Macaca fascicularis: one gene and its partner. The protein of the gene in region 1 purifies or fractionates together with the protein of each later gene. This does not show direct contact. Links are inferred from orthologs where the notes say so. Each region holds a gene or a part of one and is shown in the gene's direction. Other genes may lie near its edges.

The links.
Region 2: the proteins of ABCA1 (region 1) and NR1H2 purify together in Homo sapiens (affinity purification with western blotting; 3 studies listed by BioGRID and IntAct, with this or other methods). This does not show direct contact. The link is inferred for Macaca fascicularis from reciprocal best matches to the Homo sapiens genes ABCA1 and NR1H2.

What each region holds. Positions count from the first base shown.
Region 1 is NC_088389.1:53,187,276-53,191,820, forward strand, and holds the start of ABCA1 (phospholipid-transporting ATPase ABCA1), read left to right. Parts: upstream 1-1,529; 5' UTR 1,530-1,761; intron 1,762-4,545. UniProt on the Homo sapiens protein: Catalyzes the translocation of specific phospholipids from the cytoplasmic to the extracellular/lumenal leaflet of membrane coupled to the hydrolysis of ATP.
Region 2 is NC_088393.1:58,289,246-58,293,652, forward strand, and holds the end of NR1H2 (oxysterols receptor LXR-beta), read left to right. Parts: intron 1-2,658; coding exon 2,659-2,867; intron 2,868-3,139; coding exon 3,140-3,286; 3' UTR 3,287-3,682; downstream 3,683-4,407. UniProt on the Homo sapiens protein: Nuclear receptor that exhibits a ligand-dependent transcriptional activation activity. Binds preferentially to double-stranded oligonucleotide direct repeats having the consensus half-site sequence 5'-AGGTCA-3' and 4-nt spacing (DR-4).

The sequences.
Region 1 (4,545 bases):
CCTTGGCCTCCCAAAGTGCTGGGATTACAGGCATGAGCCACTGCGCCCGGCTTAGATCCATCCCTTTCTAAGGGCAAACAGTCCATGGTGCAAAGGGGCCATGCCACCCAGAGTTATGAGTACCTGGGACTCCAGAATTCCTTGCCTTGTGGCCTCCACGTGCACTTCCAGGGCCTGCTTGGGCCTCTTCTATGGGTCTGTCCTGAGTGTTGATAGAACCACTGATGTGGGTACCTGGGCTTGAGCTGTAGCCTGGAGATCCTGTTGACTGTAGCCTGGAGGGGGCTTGTGCAGCTGAGTGTCTGCATGCAGGTGGTGGGAGTTCTGGAATATAATGGAGCTGGAGGTGGGAAGAGAAGTAGGCTTGGGGCGCTCTCTCATGCCACCTCATTCTGACCAAAACTCAGGCCAAACTGTGAAGAGTCTAAACGTGAATCTACCCTTCAAGGTGGTTACAAAGGTATCTTTGTCAAGGCAGGAGACATTTAGTTTGTTGGCTTGATGGATGACTTAAATATTTAGACATATGGTGTGTAGGCCTGCATTCTTACTCTTGCCTTTTTTTTGGCCCCTCCAATGTTTTGGGTGGTTTTGCTCCCTACAGGCAAAGGCAAACAGAAGTTGGAGGTCTGGAGTGGCTACATAATTTTACACGACTGCAATTCTCTGGCTGCACTTTACAAATGTATACAAGCTAAATACAAGTCCTGTGTTTTTATCACAGGGAGGCTGATCAATATAATGAAAATTAAAAGGGGGCTGGTCCATATTGTTCTGTGTTTTTGTCTGTTTCTTTTTTTGTTTTTGTGGCCTCCTTCCTCTCAATTTATGAAGAGAAGCAGTAAGATGTTCCTCTCAGGTCCTCTGAGGGACCTGGGGAGCTCAGGCTGGGAATCTCTAAGGCAGTAGGCCGCTATCAAAAACTAAAGTCAAGGTTTGTTGTGGGGCGGGGGGGGAAGCAGCCGGTTACCCAGAGGACCAGCCTAGGTCTTTGAAAGGTACCAAAAGACAAAATGATTGGCGTCCTGAGGGGGATTCAGTATGGAGCTCGCTCTCCCCCAATCCCTCCCTCCGGCTGAGGAAACTAACAAAGGAAAAAAAGATTGCGGAAAGCACGATTTAGGGGAAGCAAATTCCACTGGTGCCCTTGGCTGCCGGGAACATGGACTAGAGAGTCTGCGGCGCAGCCCCGAGCCCAGCGCTTCCCGCGGGTCTTAGGCCGGCGGGCCCGGGCGGGGAGCGGGGGCGCAGACCGCGGACCCTGAGACACCTGATGCACCCTCCACCCCCACCCCCACCCCCACCCCACCCACCTCCTCCCAACTCCCTAGCAGCTTCGCGGGCGGCTGAACGTCGCCCGTTTAAGAGGCGGGCCGCGGCTCCACGTGCTTTCTGCTGAGTGACTGAACTACATAAACAGAGGCCGGGAAGGGGGCGGGGAGGAAGGCGAGAACAGGCTTTGACCGATAGTAACCTCTGCGCTCCGGGCAGCCGAATCTATAAAAGGAACTAGTCTCGGCAAAAACCCCGTAATTGCGAGCGAGAGTGAGTGGGGCCGGGACCAGCATAGCCGAGCCGACCCTTCTCTCCCGGGTTGCGGCAGGGCAGGGCAGAGCAGGGCGGGGGGCTCTGCGCACCAACAGGACTAGTTCTCAGGGCGCTTTGCTCCTTGTTTTTTCCCCTCGTTCTGTTTTCTCCCCTTCTCCGGAAGGCTTGTCAAGGGGTAGGAGAAAGAGACGCAAACACAAAAGTGGAAAACAGGTAAGAGGCTCTCCAGTGACTTATTGGGCGTTATTGTTTTGTTGCGAGGCCAAGGAAGCTTCGGGAAGCTCTCGGTTTCGGGGACTTTGATCCGGAGCCCCGCATGCCCACCACTTGCAACCCAAATGGGACCCGGGGCGGCGTAAATGGGAAGAGGATGTCCTAGGACGAGCTCTGGCGACCCCAGGACTGCGCTGCTGCGCTCGGGACTCGCCCGGCGGTGGAGACTGGGGAGCATCTCTGGGCGTGGAGACCCGGGCGCAGTACCCCGGGCTCAGAGGGGTCGGGGGTGCCCGGGAATGCTGAGGTCGCTGCTGCCGGGTGGGGAGAGTTGCAGGTCCGGCACGGAGCGCTTCTTTGTTCGGAGGGGCCTGAGTTGGCTAGAAACCCCTCTGGTTGCGGGTCGGCCAGTACCTACGGAGACAAATGCCAGCACTGAGTTCTCACTCGGTTCTTAAGAAGCTGGTCTGTTCTGACCTGGGAATCTGCTGTATGCACCCCGGGACTGGAGCAGCGCGTCCTTTTTCCCGAGAACTCGAGTTGGAGGTGTCCCAAACGGGGTCCGTGGTGCTATTACTCACTAGAGGCCTTGGGGCTTTGTGACCTGAGGGGTAGGGAGGTCCTGCCTACAGTCTCGGTGCGCTCAGCCGAGCTGGTGTCCCTGGCGCAGAGCGCGGAACGAGTTTCTTTCTTTTCTTTTTTTCTTTGAGTCTTGCTCTGTCGCCCAGGCTGGAGTGCAATGGAGCGATCTCCGCTCACTGCAACCTCTGCCTCCCGGGTTCAAGCGGTTCTCCTGCCTCAGGCTCCTGAGTAGCTAGGATTACAGGCGCGTCACCACACCCAGCTAATTTTTGTATTTTTAGTAGAGACGAGGTTTCAACTTGATGGCCAGGCTGGTCTCGAACCCCGGACCTCAGGTGATCCACCGGTCTCGGCCTCCCAAAGTGCTGGGATTACGGGCGTGAGCCACCGCGCCTGGCCGAGTTTTGTTTCTTCTAAATACAAGACTTAGGAGAGCCTGCGGAAACCCGGAGGTGGGGTGCCCAATCCTCCCTCCCCCACGTTCCCTGCCGCCCCATCTTCCAGACCCTTGCCGTTGGTCTCTTGGGGCAGCTTCTGCCTGGGCGCAGATGGGGAAGCTGGGGCGAGGTGGTGCTGTGGAATGACCGGGAATAACCCCGGCGGGCGGCGCAGAACTCGGAGCTCCGCCGCGGGGCTGGGCTGGGCTCTGCCTTGAGGGTGGGGGTGCTGGGCGCGCGGGCTGCGGTGGCCCCCGGAGACTAGCCCGCAGCGCCTCCTGGCCGGAGGACCTAGGAATCGGCCGGCTGTACTAGGTGTCTGCTCGCTGTGAATCCGGTGAAGACCGGTGAGTGCAGATGGGGAGGAACTATGAGGTTGAGGCGAAAGCCCGTTTGGTTTTTTTGTTGTTGTTGTTAGCGTGTTTGCCAACTCCCAGGCCGCTGGTAAATAAGGAAGGTTCTTGGGGCGGCGGACGGTGCCAGGGTTGTGTGTAGGTGCCTCTTTAGGTATATCTTTTATCAAAAAGAAGGAAAGAAATAAGATTAAAAATAAGAAAATAAAGAAAAAATTGTATGCCACTGTCTGTAATTGGCCTGCCTTTGCAGCACTGATACCATTAGCTTTTAAAATCCGACTTTTCAATGACATCCCAAGAAGAGAATGGGTAGTATATACACATTCATCTCACAGTGGACAAAGTTCATATTTAAAAAAACTTTCTGGGTACTGAAATCAGCAAGTCACTTGTCCTCCATGGCTGAATCCCTGCTTCCCACGAAGAGAACCTCACAAAAATTTCCCCCGAGTTAAAGAGTGGAATTTTCTTGATTTTTTTTTTTTTCATTTTTTTAACGGTCATAGTTTAGAACCCAGACTTAAATTATGATCTTCTTTTCAAACAAAACTTAAAGTCCTTAAGTTTTCATCTCCCCTTTTATTTCAGCCTATTCTTCTCATACCTACCACAAAAATGATGGAGGCCTTCTGTTGAGAAACTTTCCATTTCTGTTGAGAATATCATTCTCTTGAGAAACTTTCTCCTAAATCAGAGAAAGTATGGAAGCATGGAAAGTATTCCTGAGTAGAACCTCTACAGATATTACAATATTTTTCAAATACAAAGTTTCCATTGTCAGCCTGTTTCCCCAGTGCTTCCACAAACCATTAAATCATTCCACAAACCATTAAAATAATTAATGCTAGGGAATTTTAGGAAAACATTGGATACACAGCATCTGCTTGAGAACCAACAGTATGATCAGACCCACCGGGGAAGAGGGTCTTCAGCGTTCATGATGACTATAAGCCATTTAAGGGACTAGAATTGCTACTGTTGTCAGAGCAGTTTAAGAGTCTGTATTTGAGCCACCTGCACAGTGTTCCAGAATGACATAGCTGACTGTAACCTGGACACCTGTGATATGTTGTCTCTTCTGCAGATGAGCATTTGAAATCTCCACCCTCATATTTCTATGAGTGCAGTCCTATAATGTACCCTGTACACGTTTTTTTTTTTTTTTTTTTTTTTTCTTTTGAGACGCAGTTTAGCTCTGTTGCCCAGACAGGAGTGCAGTGGCGTGATATCGGCTCACTGCAACCTCCACCTCCTGGGTTCAAGCGATTGAGTAGCTGGGAATACACGTGCACACCACCACGCCTGGCTAATTTTTGTGTTTTTAGTAGAGACAGGGTTTCACCATGTTGGCTAGGCTGGTCTCGAACTCCTGATCTCAAGTGATCCGACAGCCTCGGCCTGCCAAAGTG
Region 2 (4,407 bases), on another chromosome or scaffold:
GGGAGGCTTGGCCCCCCTGCTAGCTGGAAGACCTGGGGCCAATTCATCCCTGTCAGAGTCTGTTTCTTTATCTCCAAAGCCAGGGTGAGGGTTGAGCCAAGGTGAGAGCAAGACAGAGTGTGTATGTCATGCGTGGTGGTGTGTGCCTGTCGGCCCAGCTACTCAGGAGGCTGGGGAGGGAAGATTGCTTGAGGCTACAGTGAGCTGTGATTGTGCCACAGCACTCCAGCCTAGCGACAGAAGAGACCGTGTCTCTATTTTTTTCAAAAAAAGCATGTATTGGCCGAGCACGGTGACTCACGCCTGTAATCCCAGCACTTTGGGAGGCTGAGGTGGGCGGATCATGAGGTCAGGAGGTCGAGACCATCCTGGCTAACACAGTGAAACCCTGTCTCTACTAAAAATACAAAAAATTAGCCAGGCGTGGGGGCGGACACCTGTAGTCCCAGCTACTCGGGAAGCTGAGGCAAGAGAATGGCTTGAACCCAGGAGGCGGAGGTTGCAGTGAGCCGAGATCGCGCCACTGTACTCTAGCCTGGGCAACAGAGCGAGACCCCGTCTCAAAAAAAAAAAAGCATGTATTGAGTGCCGACTCTGTACAGTGGGTTGCAGTGGAAGTTGAGACAGAAGGGCCCTGTTACCATATCAGGCGTCTTGGTGGGCACTAGGGAAAGCATCCCCCCACCCCAAAACCTGGTCTCACCCAAGGGAGGCAGCCTGGAGCTCAGTCCATTGTGAAGTGGGCAGCCTTCCCTACTGTCCAGGAGCACTGCTTCCTGCCCTCCGAGAGCGCTACCTGGGTGTGTCGCCTGGGCGGGTGGGCTTCTGGAAGAAGGCCTGGGCAGTGAGAGGCACTGCCTAGGAAGAGGGTGGGAGGCACGTTGCTAGTGCTGCAGAGCATACACCGGGGCCTCGATTCCTCATCGTCCCGTAATCTGTGTGGGACCTCTCTGCATTTCCCGACATCTGTCTGAGTCCCACCCTCTCCCCTTCCTTTTACCCTGGCCCTTTCACCACCCAAGACGGTCCCAGTAACCCTTTTAGTATGAGCTTAGCAGGGCAGGGCTTCGTGGAAGCGTTTCTGGCAGGGGGATCGGCGATTGCAAAGGCCCTGAGGTCAGGGAGAGCCGGTGGTTTGGAGGAACTACAGGGAGGCCCAGGCAGCTGGAGCACAAGGAGACGGGGTGGAGAGGTCGGGAATCCCACCCTACCCCTTCCCAGCCCCTCCTCTGGCACCACCCTGGAACACTGCCAGAGTCCCCTTGAGGGGCCCCTGCCTCCACCCCCGCCTGATGGAGCTGCTCACAGGGCAGGCAGAAGGGTCCTGTCAGCACTTGAGGCCGCCCACATCCCTCCTCCGCTCAGAACCCTCCACAGCTCCCGTCTCACTGGGAGAAGAGCTGGAGTTCTCTCTGTGGCCCACAAAGCCCTTTAGGACCTGGCCTCGCTTACTCTCTGTCCTCAGCTTCCACCCTCTCCCCCTCCTCCAGTCACTCTGGCCTCTTACTGGCACCCACCTGCCATGCTGTACTTGGGAGTTTCCTTTGCCCAGAACTAGGGGGACCAACTGGTCCTAGTTTGCCCAGGACCTTCCCAGTTTTAACACTGAAAGTCCCATGGCCTGGGTAGCCCCTGTCCCAAGTCCTGGGAACAGCAGACAGTTGGTCACCCTCACAATCCCTCACCTCCTTGGGGTTGGTCACTGCTCCAGCGTCACCCACGGCATGGCCTTCCCTGCCCGCCTTGTGTAAAATAGAACCGTGGCTCAGCAGGGCCCTTTGCCCTTCTCTGCACTGCCTGATTCCATAGAACTCACAGCCTTCTGACTGGCTGGGCCTCTTCCTAATGTGTTTGTCTATGACCTGTTCCCTAGGCCCTCAATGTAAGTGCTGGGGCCTGGCACATGGCAGGTACTCGGTGATGTTCGATGAATGAACGAACAAATCAGTCGTGGGAATGAGTTTGGGCTTTACCTGAGCGGTGGAAGCCAGCGCAGGGACCAACACGATGGTTTTTTTTTGTTTTTTTTTTTTGAGACGGAGTCTCGCTCTGTCGCCCAGGCTGGAGTGCAGTGGCCGGATCTCAGCTCACTGCAAGCTCCGCCTCCCGGGTTTATGCCATTCTCCTGCCTCAGCCTCCCAAGTAGCTGGGACTACGGGCGCCCGCCACTCGCCCGGCTAGTTTTTTGTATTTTTTAGTAGAGACGGGGTTTCACCGTGTTCGCCAGGATGGTCTCGATCTTCGGACCTCGTGATCCGCCCATCTCGGCCTCCCAAAGTGCTGGGATTACAGGCTTGAGCCACCGCGCCCGGCCAACACGATGGTTTTAAAAGCTTCCCTTTGCCTTCGTGAAGGGGACAAGGATAGGACCTGGGGAAGCTGCAACCACCACCAGGTGGGAAGGGAGGCTGGTGACAGGATAGTAGAAAATACTGAGGAAACATGCACCCTCATTATTCATTCCCTCACTGGGCGGGATGTGTGGCACACCTGCTACGTGCCAGCACTCTCATGGGCACGGGGCACAGGTGGACAGAAATGACAACGCTGTGATTACTGCTGTGTTCCCGGCCCCAGTGACTGTGGGTGGCGCCAGGGGCGAGGCTGTGGGGCCCGGTTTCAGGCTGAGGGAGTCACTGGCTGCCTCCCGCCCCGCAGGCCTGCAGGTGGAGTTCATCAACCCCATCTTTGAGTTCTCGCGGGCCATGCGGCGGCTGGGCCTGGACGACGCTGAGTACGCCCTGCTCATCGCCATCAACATCTTCTCGGCCGACCGGCCCAACGTACAGGAGCCGGGCCGCGTGGAGGCGCTGCAGCAGCCCTACGTGGAGGCGCTGCTGTCCTACACGCGCATCAAGAGGCCACAGGTAGGGCCCCGCAGCGCCTCTGCGCAGAGCCAACTACGTCCCGCGGCCCACTTGGTCCATCCAGGCTGGGCTCTGCCTGGCTGCCGCCCCCTCCGGCAGTCTTTCCTCAGGCCCCACCCTGCTGGACTATGAGCCAGGTCTAGTCCAAGCACAGGGGCGGGCCCCACGCTGGCTCCCACGCCTGACCGGGGATGGTCCCTCCTTTCTGTTGGGGTGGGCCGCCCAGAGCCTGGCCGGGCAGGAACTCAGTGCCCACCTGCCTCCTCCCTCAGGACCAGCTGCGCTTCCCGCGCATGCTCATGAAGCTGGTGAGCCTGCGCACGCTGAGCTCCGTGCACTCGGAGCAGGTCTTCGCCCTGCGGCTACAGGACAAGAAGCTACCGCCTCTGCTGTCGGAGATCTGGGACGTCCACGAGTGAGGGGCCGGCCACCCAGCCCCACAGCCTTGCCTGACCACCCTCCAGCAGATAGACGCCGGCACCCCTTTCTCCTCCTCGGGTGGAAGGGGCCCTGGGCTGAGCCTGTAGACCTCCCAGCCCTCAGCCCTTGGGATGAGCCCCAGTCCGGGTCCAGGAGGCTCCCTCCCTGCCCACCAAGTCTTCCAGAAGGGGTGAAAGGGTTACAGGTCCCGACCGCTGACCCTTCCCGGCTGCCCTCCCTCCCCAGCTTACACCTCAAGCCCAGCACGCAGTGCACCTTGAACAGAGGGAGGGGAGGACCCATGGCTCTCCCCATAGGCGGGGAGACCAGGGGCCTTCCTCTTCCTCTGCTCCTTTTATTTAATAAAAACTAAAAACAAAAACAGGAAAATAAAATTATGAATACAATCCAGCCCAGAGCTGGAGTGCAAGATGGAGAGGGCGTGGGCTTCTAGGGACCTCAGTGACACCGGGTCCCTGAACCTGATTGAGCATGTGGGACGGGGCCTCCCCAGGCTGGTGGGAGGGGTGGCACATAGGGTCCCAGTGCTGGGTGGTGTGTCGCCTGCTGTGAAAGTTCAGAACAGGGGCCTGACAGCCTCAGGGTCACCTCCCTGGGCAAGGTGAATGAGAACTCGCCTTTGAAGGATAAACAGGACTTAAGTGGATGAGGGGAACTGGACTTTCGTCTCAATAACGAGTGTTTTCTGAGGCCTCCTGTGGGCCAGGCACTGGGTTGACCATTCTAGAGATGGAGACATTCACCCAGCAAATGTTTCCGGAGCATTTACTAGTCAGGCACAATTCTAGGCACTGGAAACATCCGTGAACAAGATAACCACCCTCCTACCAAGACTCGGGATAGGGACTTTAATGAGGGTGGCACTGTGGTGGGGCTAGAGGAAGTCAGGCAAGGTGTCACAACAGAGGCAATCGCTGGGACCTAAAACAAGAGCCCAGGGGCTGGGCCTCCAAGTTGAGGGAACAGCACGTGCAAAGTTTGAAAGGTGAGGGACACTGCGAGTTCGGAGTGAGCAAGCGACGAAGTTCCTCCAATTCCTCTTGCCCGTGTGCCAGCCCTAAAGGAGCTGAATGAGCAATTCTAATCTAGGGCAAAAGGG